2 linked regions of the Arabidopsis thaliana genome follow. The protein of the gene in region 2 interacts with the protein of the main gene of each other region in a pairwise test. Each region holds a gene or a part of one and is shown on either strand. Other genes may lie near its edges.

The links. The genes of interacting proteins can lie anywhere in the genome.
Region 1: the proteins of AT3G05350 (region 2) and GONST1 interact in a protein complementation assay, tested with the Arabidopsis thaliana proteins (one large-scale study listed by BioGRID).

What each region holds. Positions count from the first base shown.
Region 1 is NC_003071.7:5,686,783-5,692,673, reverse strand, and holds GONST1 (golgi nucleotide sugar transporter 1), read left to right. Parts: upstream 1-1,902; 5' UTR 1,903-2,143; intron 2,144-2,356; 5' UTR 2,357-2,370; coding exon 2,371-2,720; exon of another isoform or gene 2,721-2,964; coding exon of another isoform or gene 2,965-3,047; coding exon 3,048-3,177; intron 3,178-3,684; coding exon 3,685-3,783; intron 3,784-4,331; coding exon 4,332-4,486; intron 4,487-4,568; coding exon 4,569-4,685; coding exon of another isoform or gene 4,686-4,689; exon of another isoform or gene 4,690-4,838; coding exon 4,839-4,936; intron 4,937-5,037; coding exon 5,038-5,090; 3' UTR 5,091-5,358; downstream 5,359-5,891. Other genes in the region: AT2G13660 (uncharacterized protein), read left to right, coding at 57-382; AT2G13640 (Transcription factor IIS family protein), read left to right, coding at 5,384-5,891. UniProt on the Arabidopsis thaliana protein: Involved in the import of GDP-mannose from the cytoplasm into the Golgi lumen. Required for the luminal synthesis of a variety of plant cell surface components. Is required for the correct mannosylation of the glycosylinositol phosphoceramides (GIPC).
Region 2 is NC_003074.8:1,527,888-1,535,480, forward strand, and holds the start of AT3G05350 (Metallopeptidase M24 family protein), read right to left. Parts: upstream 6,023-7,593; 5' UTR 5,957-6,022; coding exon 5,630-5,956; intron 5,475-5,629; exon of another isoform or gene 5,374-5,474; coding exon of another isoform or gene 3,013-5,373; exon of another isoform or gene 2,781-3,012; intron 2,370-2,780; coding exon 2,244-2,369; intron 2,142-2,243; coding exon 2,022-2,141; intron 1,919-2,021; coding exon 1,643-1,918; intron 1,524-1,642; coding exon 1,351-1,523; intron 1,278-1,350; coding exon 1,023-1,277; intron 793-1,022; coding exon 641-792; intron 538-640; coding exon 347-537; intron 236-346; coding exon 127-235; intron 39-126; coding exon 1-38. Other genes in the region: RLP30 (receptor like protein 30), read right to left, coding at 3,013-5,373; AT3G05365 (uncharacterized protein), read right to left, coding at 6,489-6,583, 6,681-6,820, 7,099-7,205. UniProt on the Arabidopsis thaliana protein: Catalyzes the removal of a penultimate prolyl residue from the N-termini of peptides, such as Arg-Pro-Pro.

The DNA.
Region 1 (5,891 bases), on a different chromosome or scaffold from region 2:
TAAACTTGATCACGAGAATTTGTAACCTCAGCCGATTAGCCCGAAATATTCATCAGAACAAGACGAAGACTCCAATTCTTCATACTCCGTCCCAATCAACCGCATCAACTTGATCAATCCACCAAGGAGAACCGATGCTCTAAACAAGCCCTTTTGGCGGAGCAAGGAATTACCTTCACTTGGGAGAAGAATCAAGCACTCAATGAACAAGGATCCATTTGATGACTTCTGGAATTTTCATCTTCCCGAAATTGGAAGAGTTAATTTGAGCCTGCAAAAGGCAACCAAAAGAGAAAGAAAGAAAGTAAATCCGAACAAGTCGGAAAGAGAAACCGGCATCAAAACAGGAAATCTAAAACACAAACCAAAAAGCTCTGATTGAAGACGGAGATTACAAAAGAAAAACAGAGCTCCCTCTCTGTAAAAGATATGAAAGAGAGAAGAGATAGAAAACTCTTTTCATTAAATGTTATAATACGAAAATGATATTCAACTATTTGTTCTCAAGAACAAGATGAGTGTCGTTAACATTAGAGTGTGAATATATTTTTGTTATAAAAATTGTCATGCGTTACGGAAAAAACAAAATGGTCATGCGTTTGGCTACACTGGTTCTTTTGGGCCTAAAGGATTTTATTTTACGTGCTCGAGTAACTTGGGCTATGGCTAGTGGATTTAGAAGTGGACTGTGTCAAAGAGTCAAAATAGATAGGCTAAAATTTCTGGTGGAAAGAATTAAGCCGAAAGGTCAACGGTATGGTACAAAGCAAAAAGGCAAATGGACCATTATTGCCAAACTTTTATTTTTATTCATTCAGATTTTGTGTCAAATTGCCAAGTTTAGAGACACATAACAGTAGTACACTTTTGCACTGACTATCAATTTAAATACGAATTCTCACTGATTAAACTAATTAAGACGCATCATTATAAATTTCTTAAATCATAAACACTAGAATCCAAAATCGATTTTCATTTTTCCCTCTTTTCTTTTTTGAATTCTTTCCTTTTTTTGATTCCTTCTTCTTCTTTAAATTCAAAATAATCTCTTATCTCTATGTCGATTGATGGTGCGAAAGAGAAAAAATTGTGCCTCAATTTGCTTAATTAACGAAAATTCGTGATTAAATTGAAAATCAACATAAAAATTGAGAATTTAAATTACCAGATACAGAACTCATAGTTTAAATCAACAAAAATAGTAAACTACTGATTTAAATGACATTTTTCCAAAAAAGCAAATTGTACAACATATTGTGTGATTTGGACCATATGGTACCAAACCATTATAACTAAATTAGATAATTTATGTTTATATTATTATTTCTTCTCAATATATAAGAGATTTATATAATAACCAATAACTATAAAATGATGAAAATTAACAAAATAACATCATAAGCTCAATACCTTAGGAGAGAACATATTTAACGTGTAACTGTCAAAGTTACTCCAAACAAAGTTTGTGTTCTTTTTTTATAAATAACAATGTTTGTGTTGAATGACCTCAATGAAGAGATTTGTTTGATAGTATTAAATAGCTAATATTTTCTTAAATTTTAGTATAGTTATGACATATTTGTATATGGCCTATTTGTATATGATCAGTATTATTCTGTTTTATTGTCTTAAAAATGATCAATATTATTCTGTATTTATAGATAAAAGGCTATTTTTCGCTTTGGAATAATTTTTAATTTCAAGAAATACATACTAGTTTTATTTATTCATTTAGACATGTTTGACATGAGTAGTTGATGAGTTTGTCAATTTTGAAATACCCACTGAGAAAATTTATTTTGTTTTACATAATGGAACTTCCTCTAACTTACGAAACTCTTAATTTTAATATAAATAAACAAACGAAAGAAACGAAAATTGGTCAGTTTTTTTTTTTTTTTTCTCTTCTGGTCAATGCCATCTCTCTCCCTCGTCTTTTCAGTTTCCTAATTTCCATTGTTTCTTCAAAACAACATTTCACAGATAGCTCCACCACGACCTGACGAAGATCCTCCGCGTGAGCAAGTTTCATGTTCTTCTTCTTCTTCCGATTCATAGTTTTTTTTTTTTCCGGTAACTTGTCATCAATTAGATCTCGTCCGAAGTTGAATCTTTAGTTCGCGAGCTTTTGGACAACTTCGAGGTAAAATTCGTTATTCTCTACACAACTTCCGATTAACGCTTGTGTAGCTACTCTCAACTTTGCTGCTTGATCCAATCTCGTCTTAAGTTGATTTTAGCTGCGAATTGGAACCGAATTGGTTTTTATGTAAAACTGTTACTTTTTTTGTGCGTGTATTGTTAAGAATGATGGATCTAGTTATATAAGCTTGAAAGAAGTTAGTTTCTTTGGTAGGTCTTAGCTTTGCAATGAAATTGTACGAACACGATGGAGTTGATTTAGAAGATGGGAAGACAGTAAAATCCGGAGGAGATAAACCAATTCCAAGAAAGATACATAACCGGGCTTTGTTATCCGGTTTAGCTTATTGCATTTCATCATGCAGTATGATACTTGTCAACAAGTTTGTTCTCTCCAGCTACAACTTCAATGCTGGGATCTTCCTTATGTTATACCAGAACTTTGTCTCGGTGATCATTGTGGTTGGTTTGAGTTTAATGGGTCTAATAACTACTGAACCACTTACTTTGAGGTTGATGAAGGTCTGGTTTCCAGTGAATGTCATCTTTGTTGGTATGCTTATCACAAGCATGTTTAGGTAAGAATGTGTTTCTACACCTTTATTTTGTGTTGGTTTGTTGAATTATATATCGATGCTCTCTTAATTCTCAAGCCTATAAGATTACTAAATTAGTAAAGTCAACTTTTTGGAGTACTAAAGGTAGTTATAAGAATCTGTACATCATCTTTACAGCAGATCGAGGATTAAATAACGTGTAGACACTTAGGTGAAACAGATAGATATTTTGGATTTACTTCACAGTAGGTCGAGATATATAGATATGTATCGTATATGTGTATGTAGGCGGTGTTTGAAGAGCAGATTGAACTTGATTGTCTATTTGAATTACATTTTCTTTGACAGTTTGAAATACATCAATGTAGCAATGGTCACTGTCCTGAAGAATGTCACTAATGTGATAACTGCAGTTGGTGAGATGTATCTGTTCAACAAGCAACATGACAACAGAGTGTGGGCTGCTCTCTTCTTAATGGTATGTTTGTCTGCTTTAAAAGTATTTCTAACTGATTCTGTAAATTGTACCTGAGAAAAAACTATTCTCAAGGAACCTATTTCAAGCTGCACATAGATAGCATTTTGATTGGAGTTTTTGAAAGATATCCTTGTCAAACAACGATTCTATACTGTTTTGGATTTGGTTTTCTCTTGTTTTCTCAAAGCACTCTCTGATCATCAACCTTAACCAATAAAGTCTAAAGCATATCTTCTTATTGATAAGTGATCCACCCTTTTGTGTGCGTACACAGTTACACTTGTCGTAGCGGCTTTCAGTGGTGTGGCATAGCCTAACCTTTCAATACTGTTGGAGATACATGTTTTTAACTGCTTCCACAATTAGTCTGCCAGGGAAATGTAATCATGTTTTTTTGTCACGGCTACTCATTGTTATATGTATATTCTATTTGTTTTTGTATAGATCTTGAATAAGTAGAGGATAAAGTTTTGATTAACCTGTGCTTCTTTCGTCCTTCATTTGCAGATAATTTCCGCAGTTTCTGGAGGAATAACAGACCTATCATTCAATGCTGTTGGCTATGCTTGGCAGATTGCTAATTGCTTCTTAACTGCATCGTACTCGGTGAGTAAACATTTGATCATTTGTGTTTTCTTTTCCCAAAATGTTAGGAGTCATTTGAAACAATAAACACATATATGAAAAGGAGATCACTTAAAAACCATGCTTTCATGTCGAGTATTACATGCTGTTTGGTTAAGACTAAGTCAATAAACTAAACAGCCTTCCCTATAATCATTACGATACTGGCTTGCTTTTGAGTTTTAAGATGCTCACGAGATACCGAGATTCTGTTACCTTAGAAAATTTTATAGCTTGCAATCCATTGTCACTGGTAACCTGAGTACTTCACTCGTTGTTAGAAGTAGGAATAGCATGTTAAAGAGAAGACTTTGGGCAAAGAATGCAAATTGACACCATCAACTTCTCAGTTCTCACTAGGTTTTCCATTGCTGGGTCAAAAAACGAGAGTGTTAGACTGTTAGGTTCCCATAAATTTATCCCTATATCCTGTCAACAAAAACCAAGTGTTTGGCTTGTTAGCTAGGCTACTATACTCTTATAAAATTTGCCACCACTTTTGACTTGCCTTATATTTTGTTGTTTTGCAGCTGACTTTGAGAAAGACCATGGATACGGCCAAGCAGGTTACTCAATCTGGAAACTTGAACGAGTTCTCCATGGTCTTGCTTAATAACACACTTTCATTACCACTTGGGCTTCTTCTTTCTTATTTCTTCAACGAGATGGATTATCTCTATCAAACGTGAGTTCCTGTCCTTATTTCTGTGTCAATGGAAAATGGTTTGTGTCATCTGAAAACAAAATGGTGTATTATATTTGTGCAGGCCACTTCTACGATTACCAAGTTTCTGGATGGTCATGACACTTAGTGGACTTCTAGGGCTTGCCATTAGCTTTACTTCAATGTGGTTTCTTCATCAAACTGGAGCAACAACATACAGGTAGCAAATTAGAGAGAGATAGAGCAATTTCAAAACTTTGCTTAAGAGAGTGTTGCTGTCCCCTAGCCTTCTCCATATATCCCTTTCCTATGTTTGCTTCTTTGTTGGTTCAGTCCTAACTAGATACATCTTTCGCTTTATTCAAAATCATAGCCTGGTGGGATCTCTAAACAAGATACCTCTATCCATCGCGGGGATCGTTCTTTTCAATGTACCGACCAGTTTGCAGAACTCAGCAAGCATACTCTTTGGTAAGCGTTCTCTCGATCAGTTCCCTTTTCCAACTTCTTGAAGGAACACATATCGCTTGTGTTGTGTATTATTATTAAACCTGAGGTGGCCTAATTTGCAGGTCTTGTCGCTGGAGTTGTATTTGCTAGAGCCAAAATGAGGGAGAAGTCCTAAAATACTAACCATCTACAACACATTTTACTACATCAATCAGTATAGGACATGGCAAAAGCTGATTAAAGCAGAGCAATGAGTTTATAACCTCAGAATTCTATGCACGTTATGTGTTTCTTGTAAAAGCTTTCGCCACTCTACTTGTATAATGTTAGTAAAATATTAATGAATGTATCGATTCTTGAGTGGTAAGAGAAGTGTTGGTTTATGTGTTTCTTCGTTTTTACCAATTTTCCAGTAAAGAAATTCAATGGTATGAGATTTCAACATAAACTGAAAACCCTAGCCACCTGATGATCAAGAACGACGGAAAGATGATGAGAGTGAGAATTGCGAAGGAGAGATCTGACTTATGCGACTTGACTGCTGCTGCAATTAAGGCTACTTACAATACACGGAACCCATGCGAAGTCGAGCGATGCATCGATGTGTTGAATCACTTGAAGTCTCTGTCTCTTTCCGTGAAGGATATACGATTGTCTGAATCAATAGTTAAACTGGAGACTTTGAGAAGTCATAGGAACCCTAGAATCCGTAAGGAAGCCCAAGCCTTGTTTCATTCATGGTTGAAGACATTCTACGCACATGGAAGCGACAACTCTTTCACAGCTGCTCTTACCAAAGATCGTCTGAAGATGAAGAAGCATGTTCTAAAAATGTGTTCGGAGTTGAAGAAGAAAGAAGAACCGGGAACTATGGCTCGTCAAGTCACTGCCTTTTCGGTGTTGAAGAATAAAGAAGACGAGAGATCTCAGACGACTGTTGAAGCAGTAGAGAGTAAGACAACGATCAAACTCTCGG
Region 2 (7,593 bases):
ATGCACATTGAGTGCAGCACCTACGCCGTGTCCTGTCCCTGTTTGGCAGGCAAAATATCAGAGTAATATGAGTTCCTTACAAAAAAGTTGTTCTGGGAAGAAGAGTCAAAAGATAGAATAGAGTACCATGGCGGTAATCAAGTCCAATTTTCCATAGAGAAGAGCGTGCAAACCCATCCAATACAAAACCAGGAGTACCTTCTGGGAACACGGCTTGATCAAGAGCTATATGACCCTACAACCAAAATACCAATCAGACAAGGCAACCCATACAGGTTCGTCTGTTCAATATAGGTAGTCAATGGTCATCAAAAATGATGAGGAAAAGAAGAGCCAAATATTCCACCTGCAAGACTCGAGTGAAACATTCCTTTTCACGGGCAGAAGGTTCACTAAAATGTACTGTTCTGGTGATGTCTGTTGTTCCATCAACATATTGAGCGCCACTATCCAGCAAAAAAAGTTTTTGAGGGTCTACACGACTGCAGCTCTCAGGCTCGGGCTTATAATGTATAATAGCACCATTTGCACCGGAACCTGCATGGGTAATTAGAGGAAAGGAATACATATCACTCACTGGCTGTATATTGACTATGTGTTAAGAAGCAAGTTCCACCAACAAGGGTGACAATAACCATACCACTTATTGTATCAAAGCTTGTATCCATAAAACCATCTTGCATTGAACGGAATTCAAGAAGCCTGTCAGCCACATCGACCTCTGTTAGATTCGCATTCTTATGCACTTCTTCTTCCAGCCAAGCCCAGAAATGAGCTAGGGCAGCAGCATCTCTGCATAAAATAAGTGGTCAGCCAAAGACATTTCCCATACATAGGAAAAAAAGAAACCAAAATTTTCCAGAAATGAGCTAGAGCAGCAGCATTTCTCCATATATATTTGGTCAGCCTAAGATACTTAGCATTTGAAAGTACAAAAGAAACCAAAATCTTCCAGAGAAAAGTTGAATCCTATAAAGGCAGTTGGATTAGGAAAATATCGTAAAAGCAATGGCTTTCTTTACCTCAAGTGAGAATTCTTCATTCCCTTTAGCTCAGCATCATTTTTAATGGCCTTTGCCCACGAAATAGGAGATTGCATGTAAATACCAGAAGGATTGGCAGTATATCCGCTGGAGCTATCAGTAAACTTTGTCTTAACTTTGGCTTCGCTTTCAAAATTCCTCGAATATCTTTCACAGGCAGATTTGTAGGTACTAATGATAGCTACGTTGAGGGTTGATGGATCCATCAAGAGCTGAGCTCCTCGTGCTGCCAAACTGAGAAAACTCAAAGTGAGGGAAATTCCTTTTTCTGAAGTTCATAAATGGACATGGACAATCAAGTACTTACCTATCTATTCCTTGAAGAATGGAATCGTAAGGTCTAAGTTCGATCCCTGCGTTTTTCAAATGATCTTTCACCTCCACCGTTACTTTAGAATTATCTACAAAAAGTTGGGCTTGGTCAACCTCTACAATCAGATATGCGTACATTACAGGTGAATGTGGAACATCGCTCCCTCTCTGCAGTCAGAAGAGGCAGAATACAACATCAATACATTGGGACCTATGTGAAGGATAAGCTGATATCAGTGGCACAAAACTAACAGATTCAAATGTAAGATGCTATGCTAGAGTATTACCAGATTAAGCACCCATGCAATCTCATCAAGCATGGATATTACAATGGCAGATGTGCCAGCATCCATAATTTGGTTCCTCAAAGACAACAATTTCGAGGCCACATCTAAACCAGCATACTTCAAGTCATGTATCCTTATTTGTCTGCTTGGAGGCTTTGGCCTTGAGTCCTTCCATATCTCATCCACAAGATTTACATTGTACAAGTAAACCAACTCATGATTCTTCTTTGCTATAACCTCCTTCAATTCCTCAGCAGCATCGGCGGAAAAAAGGAACTGCTCCCTTCATGAATTCCAAAGTCTTGTAAATAACAAACCACAAACTACAATATTTAAGGACAAAAGGAGACACAATTTAGAAGGTTTAATAATAGCTTACAGGGTCAATACCAACTCTTCCACCAGGCGCCAAAACATCAGCTATCCATTCACTCGCCGTGGGGACTCCCGGATTACCAGCCCGCATGAGAATCCAACTAGAGTTTAATTGCTTCTCCGCCTTTGATAGAATAATTGCAGAGAATGTAGATAAGAAACTCCACATTTCCTTTCAATATGAGATGGCAATCAAATAATTTTAAAGGACGATAATGATCAAAACCTGAAGAAAATAGCGGCCATCTGTCCATAGAGCTGCCTTATCCTTGGTGACAACAGCGGTACCAGCACTTCCAGTAAATCCTGATATATAAGCCCTCCTGGCATAGCACTCTGCGATGAACTCGCTCTAGTACAAAATATGGAGAAAAATCACACTCAAGCCATGAAAAACTCAGGCAGTTTATGGATACATTTAGAAGTAAAACATAAATTTGTGACTTTCCTAATGGCACAGAAATATATTACAGGCAACATCAGTTATGAAAGTAGATCTTAAGCTCCTAGTATGTAAAATTCACCGAAACAACACATTACCCATATCAAAATGGCAAAAACAATTGCATAGATGCATAACAACCCCCGCACTGGTCCAAATCATATTTATTTTTTATCTTGAATCTCCAAATCGAATTTGGTATACTCAGGGACAGCAAGATTGACGTGTGAGCGGAGCAAGAAACTTTGGGGAGAATGAAATAAAACACGAGTTGGAGAATTTCATACTGTGATTTAGAAGAAGAAGAACTTCCATTTGGCTCTACAATTGAAACATCCTCTTATGACAAGTTGAGATTTGACTAGGAAGAAAAATCTGAATGCATTTTCAACCCAACATATAGAAGATCAGATACCACCAAAGCCGTTTCTTACAATACCATAAAGTAGAAAATTACAAAGACAAAGAGTTTATGCATAACACAACTGACAGATATCATAACAAACATATACGTTTCACAATCACTCAGAGAAATTGTGAGAGGTGATGGTGTTCAACGAGCACTTGTGGTGACTACTCTGCGCTTGTTTCGATGGAATTTTTCCATGAACCACTCGTGTTTGTGTGCAGTAAAGAAGATATGTCCAATAACTAATCCACAAAACACACCAGGTCCGTAGGCTATTGCCGCTGCTATCCAGTTAATCACTTGTTCTTCTGGTTCCGAAAATTCCTCGGATTCTAGTGGTGTAGAACTCGGGGCATGAGCTTTTCCACAGATTTTCTCAAGACCGTAGAGTCTGAGGTTGTCCATGAATGTAGAACAATGTTGGCTTTGAAACTGAGTGCCTAGTGGAACTGGACCTTCGAGAAGGTTATGGGAGAAATTCATGGTCGACAGAAAAGAGAGGCTACCAAGATCTCGAGGGATGTGACCTGATAGCTGATTCCGGGATAGGTCCAATGTCTCAAGATTTGTCAAATTTGCCAATGACTGAGGGATATTGCTTGTGAATGAGTTACCTGACAAATTGAGAAGACGCAATTCCTTCAACAAACCAACGGATTCAGGTATATTCCCAAAAAATCTGTTTCCAGAAAAGTCAATGGCTCTGAAGAAATATGGGATCCGCAAGAAGTCCGTTTCTACTCCTTTATATATCATAGTCATCGAATTACTATGGCTGAACTCGGGCCCTTTCTCGCCCATGTACCAATCCTCTGTACCTATATTAGAGCCGTTTTCTTCTAAGACAGATGTCACCATCTCACGCCAATTGGAGAAATATAAAGGTGACAAAGTTCCACTGAAGCCATTCTGTGATATATCAATGAGTCTCAAATGTTGAAACCCAAAAGATATGTGGTCATAATATAACGACCCATAGAATGCATTAGATCTGAGGATGAGGACACGTAATGATGGCAAAGAAACCAACCAGGATGGAAAAGTGTCCTTGATTATGTTGCTTCCCACATTCAGAAGTTCCATACCAGTGCAATTGATCAGGGATTTTGGAAGTTTTCCCTCCAACCGGTTGTAGCTAACGTCAAGTGATAATAACATGCTAGCATTGACAAATACGTCTGGGAGAAATCCGCTGAAGCTGTTGTTACGCAGAACTAGCCCTTTAAGCCAATAAGTGGAATTTTTCAAACAAGGAGGAATTGAGCCGTTGAAGAGATTGTTGGACAAGTCTAAGTACTTTAAGAACCTTTGCTTGCAGATCCAATGGGGAAAAGGTCCTCCAAGTGAATTCGAACCAAGATCCAACTCCTGCATTGATTCTCCATCCAAAGCTCCGGATGATGACTTTCCAAAACTGTTGAAAGAATTGTGGGAAAGTGTCACTGTCATCAATCCCCATAAGCAACCTGGCACTTCGCCTTCCAAGGTATTGTTTGAAAGACTAAGATGCTGAAGGTTGACCAACTTTGATATAGAAGTGGGGATTGGCCCAACTAAGTTGTTGTGGCTAAGATCTAGTACTATGAGACTGTGAATTTCAGATATATATTCAGGGATTGGCCCATCGAATTTGTTATCAGCAAGGTTTAGATCCCAAAGCCTAGAAGATGAAGATATATTCCCAAACTTTATAGGTCCCATGAACTGGTTTCCTTCCAAATAAACAATTTGTAACGAAGGAATCGTGAATAAGGATGTAGGAAAAGTCCCGACAAATGAATTCTCACGCACATCAAAATATTTCAAGTTGTGGAGTCCACTCATATCAGATGGAAGCGTGGATTTAAAGTGATTAGAGGCAACGTTTAAGGAGGACAAGCTGGTTAAATTTGGTAGTATGAAAGAGAAATTTTCCAATGTGAACTGATTGCTAGAGATGTCTAAACTAGAAAGCTTCGTTAAATTGGTAAATGAAGTAGGAATGTTACCACTAAAACTGTTTTCGGAAAGTAAAAGGTCTCTAAGTTGGTTTAGCTTACTGACCGAAGCCAGAACTTCACCTGTCAGCTGATTACTCGAAAGGTCAAGATGCGTGAGACGAGAAAGGTTTCCTAGTGAAGAAGTAACCTCTCCATAGAGATGGCAATCACTGAGAGTCAGGTTCTGGAGTTGTTGGAGTTTGAAAAGACCACTAGTTGGTTTCAAAGAGTTGTTGAGAAGGACATAACTAAGGTCAAGTGAAACCACCTCGCCAGATTCATCATCGCACGTGACACCCTCCCAAAAACAGCAATCACTAGTCTTGTTCCATGAACTCAACGATGGACTTGGCTTCGATTCACTTACCGGAAACTCGTGTTTGAACTCGAGAAGAGCATCCCTTTGGTCATGGCGGCAATAGTGAAGCCTAGAAGAAGCAAGAGTGCGTAGAACAAGGGAACCCAGGAGGAAGAAATACAAGGTAATAACACTACCAGAAAAGGAATTAGATTGGCTTGGAATCATTTTGTTTGTTTTGTAAGTAACAGGTTATGATAGCTATGGCTTCTACGTCTCTATTTAGAGAGAGAGAAAAATAGAAAACAAAACACAAATTTGCAGCTCTCTAGTAGACTTCTACCTACTCCTTTCTATAGTCAAACTTGCCCACTTGGACCAATAATTGACTTAAAAACACACACAATTGAACAGTTTTGAATCTACTAGAACTTCCTATTCAATTCGTAATCACGAGTTAAGAAGAGGTTTAAAAAAAGAGAACCTGATGTGCATCTTGTGAAGGTATGATATAAGCGTCGATTCCAACACCCGGCTCCGAAAACAGTCGCCGGATCGAGCTAAGCTTCTCGTCGACAACTACTTTGGTTTGAGCTTTACGAATCTCTTTGGAAGACTTTGCCGTGAAGGAGGAAGAGCTGCTGCTGCTGCTACTAGCATGACACCTTGCGCCAAAAAGAGGTTTATACGGTAATTTCCGGTGGATCAGAGAGAGCGAATTGAAATTGCTGAGAAATAGAGAGTGTGAGTAACGTGATGTGGATAAAACGAGCCGATTCAGAGACGGCGACGAAAGAGTTAGAGGAATCATCACCAGCGATTGCAGGAGAATCACACAAGAGGAGAAGCTTCTTGAGCAGAGTGATTACGGATAAATGTGTATAACTACTGAAAATTGCAAAACAACCCCCGTATTCTTTTAAATGTTGTATAATGTGCATGACTATTGATAATTACATTAAAATCCCAGACTTGTCAAAAAGAAACATTTTATTTTGAAACAATCTCATCAAATTCGTTATGGTAAAGGACAGCCAAGAGAGACGTGTGCAAGAAGCAAGAGTCTTTGGGTGCGTAAGAAATGTAAACGTGTTCGAGACTTTCATGCTGAGAATTTCGATTGGAATTTTGGTTTGACTTAGAAAGTTTTATGAGAAAGACTTAATACCGCCTGAATTAAGGGTTTCCACGAAAGAGACAAACGATAAATTGCAACCACACCAGAAAAGAGAAAAATAGATACTAATATTCTTTATATTGATAACCATGGGGTTTAGAATTCAAAACATATTTTGAGATATGAGTAGAAGAAGTTTCTGAATGCATTATCGAGCCAAGATTTATTACAAAACCTTGCAACAATGTGGTTTGGGACAAGAAGCTGACCATGATTTTAACCTGATAGTAAAACGGGCCTTGTCTCTTGACAGCTGAAAGTCTGAAACAAGATCATAATATTTCTCAAGCGCTGAACTAACACAAGTAAGGGAATGGAAGTGAATACTTGTTCTGAAGCAACTGGCATGAAAATGTACCTCTCAAGTATCTGGTTTTTTCTAATCTCCTTCCGTGAAAAGAAAGATTCTTAGGGTACCAAGGCAAAGGCTTGATTGCCTCCAATTCACCACTCTCTATGGCCTTAAGTATGCTTCTTATGTCTATCATCAATGAGACACTAGAAAAATGAAAGAGTCATGAATCAACCTCAGCCCGAAGAGATTTCATGAAATCATTCTCCAATTTCAATCAAATCCCATCACAAAATTGACCACTGAAGAATCAAAAACAGAGGCCACTTAGTCAAAAAAAACTCTGAAACTCCATAAACGAATCCCACTCTTCAGCTTTCACTATCCTTTGTTCCTTACACAACTTCACAACAAGACATTACAATGGTGTTTATTAGAAGTAAAGTTTCAAAATCCATGGAAGCCATTGATTCTATTGAGGTACCTTGTAATACTCCTCGAGTCCTCATCCTCGAAATGAAGATTTGAGCAGATGGGCTTTTGGAGGTTGGAATCAAAGGAAGCATCGGATTTGAGGGGGTTTTCGAACATTCTCTTGGCTATTTAGAGTTGATTTCTCTTCCAAGTTGTGTCGTCTCCATTTTTGTTGTTACAGTGGCCGAGCTTTTTGTTTTCACAGCGATGGGTTTGATGGGTTTACATTGGTTTTGAAATTCAAATTGATCTCGGTTCGGTTTAATTTGGTTTAGAGAAGAAAACCAAAAAAAATAAGACACGCGATGGATTTTTGAGAGTGAGTTGCGTGGATCAAAAAAGGCATGATTTCTGTGGACAAACCCCTTTAGAAATCGTAGACACGCGCTCAACGCGACATGGGTGAGACTGGTTGTGAAATCGCTCGATTGGTAAAAGTGGGGTATGAAGTGGAGCTCTCTCATTGGCTAAAAAAATAAAAATAGTAGACATATAGCTCCTATCC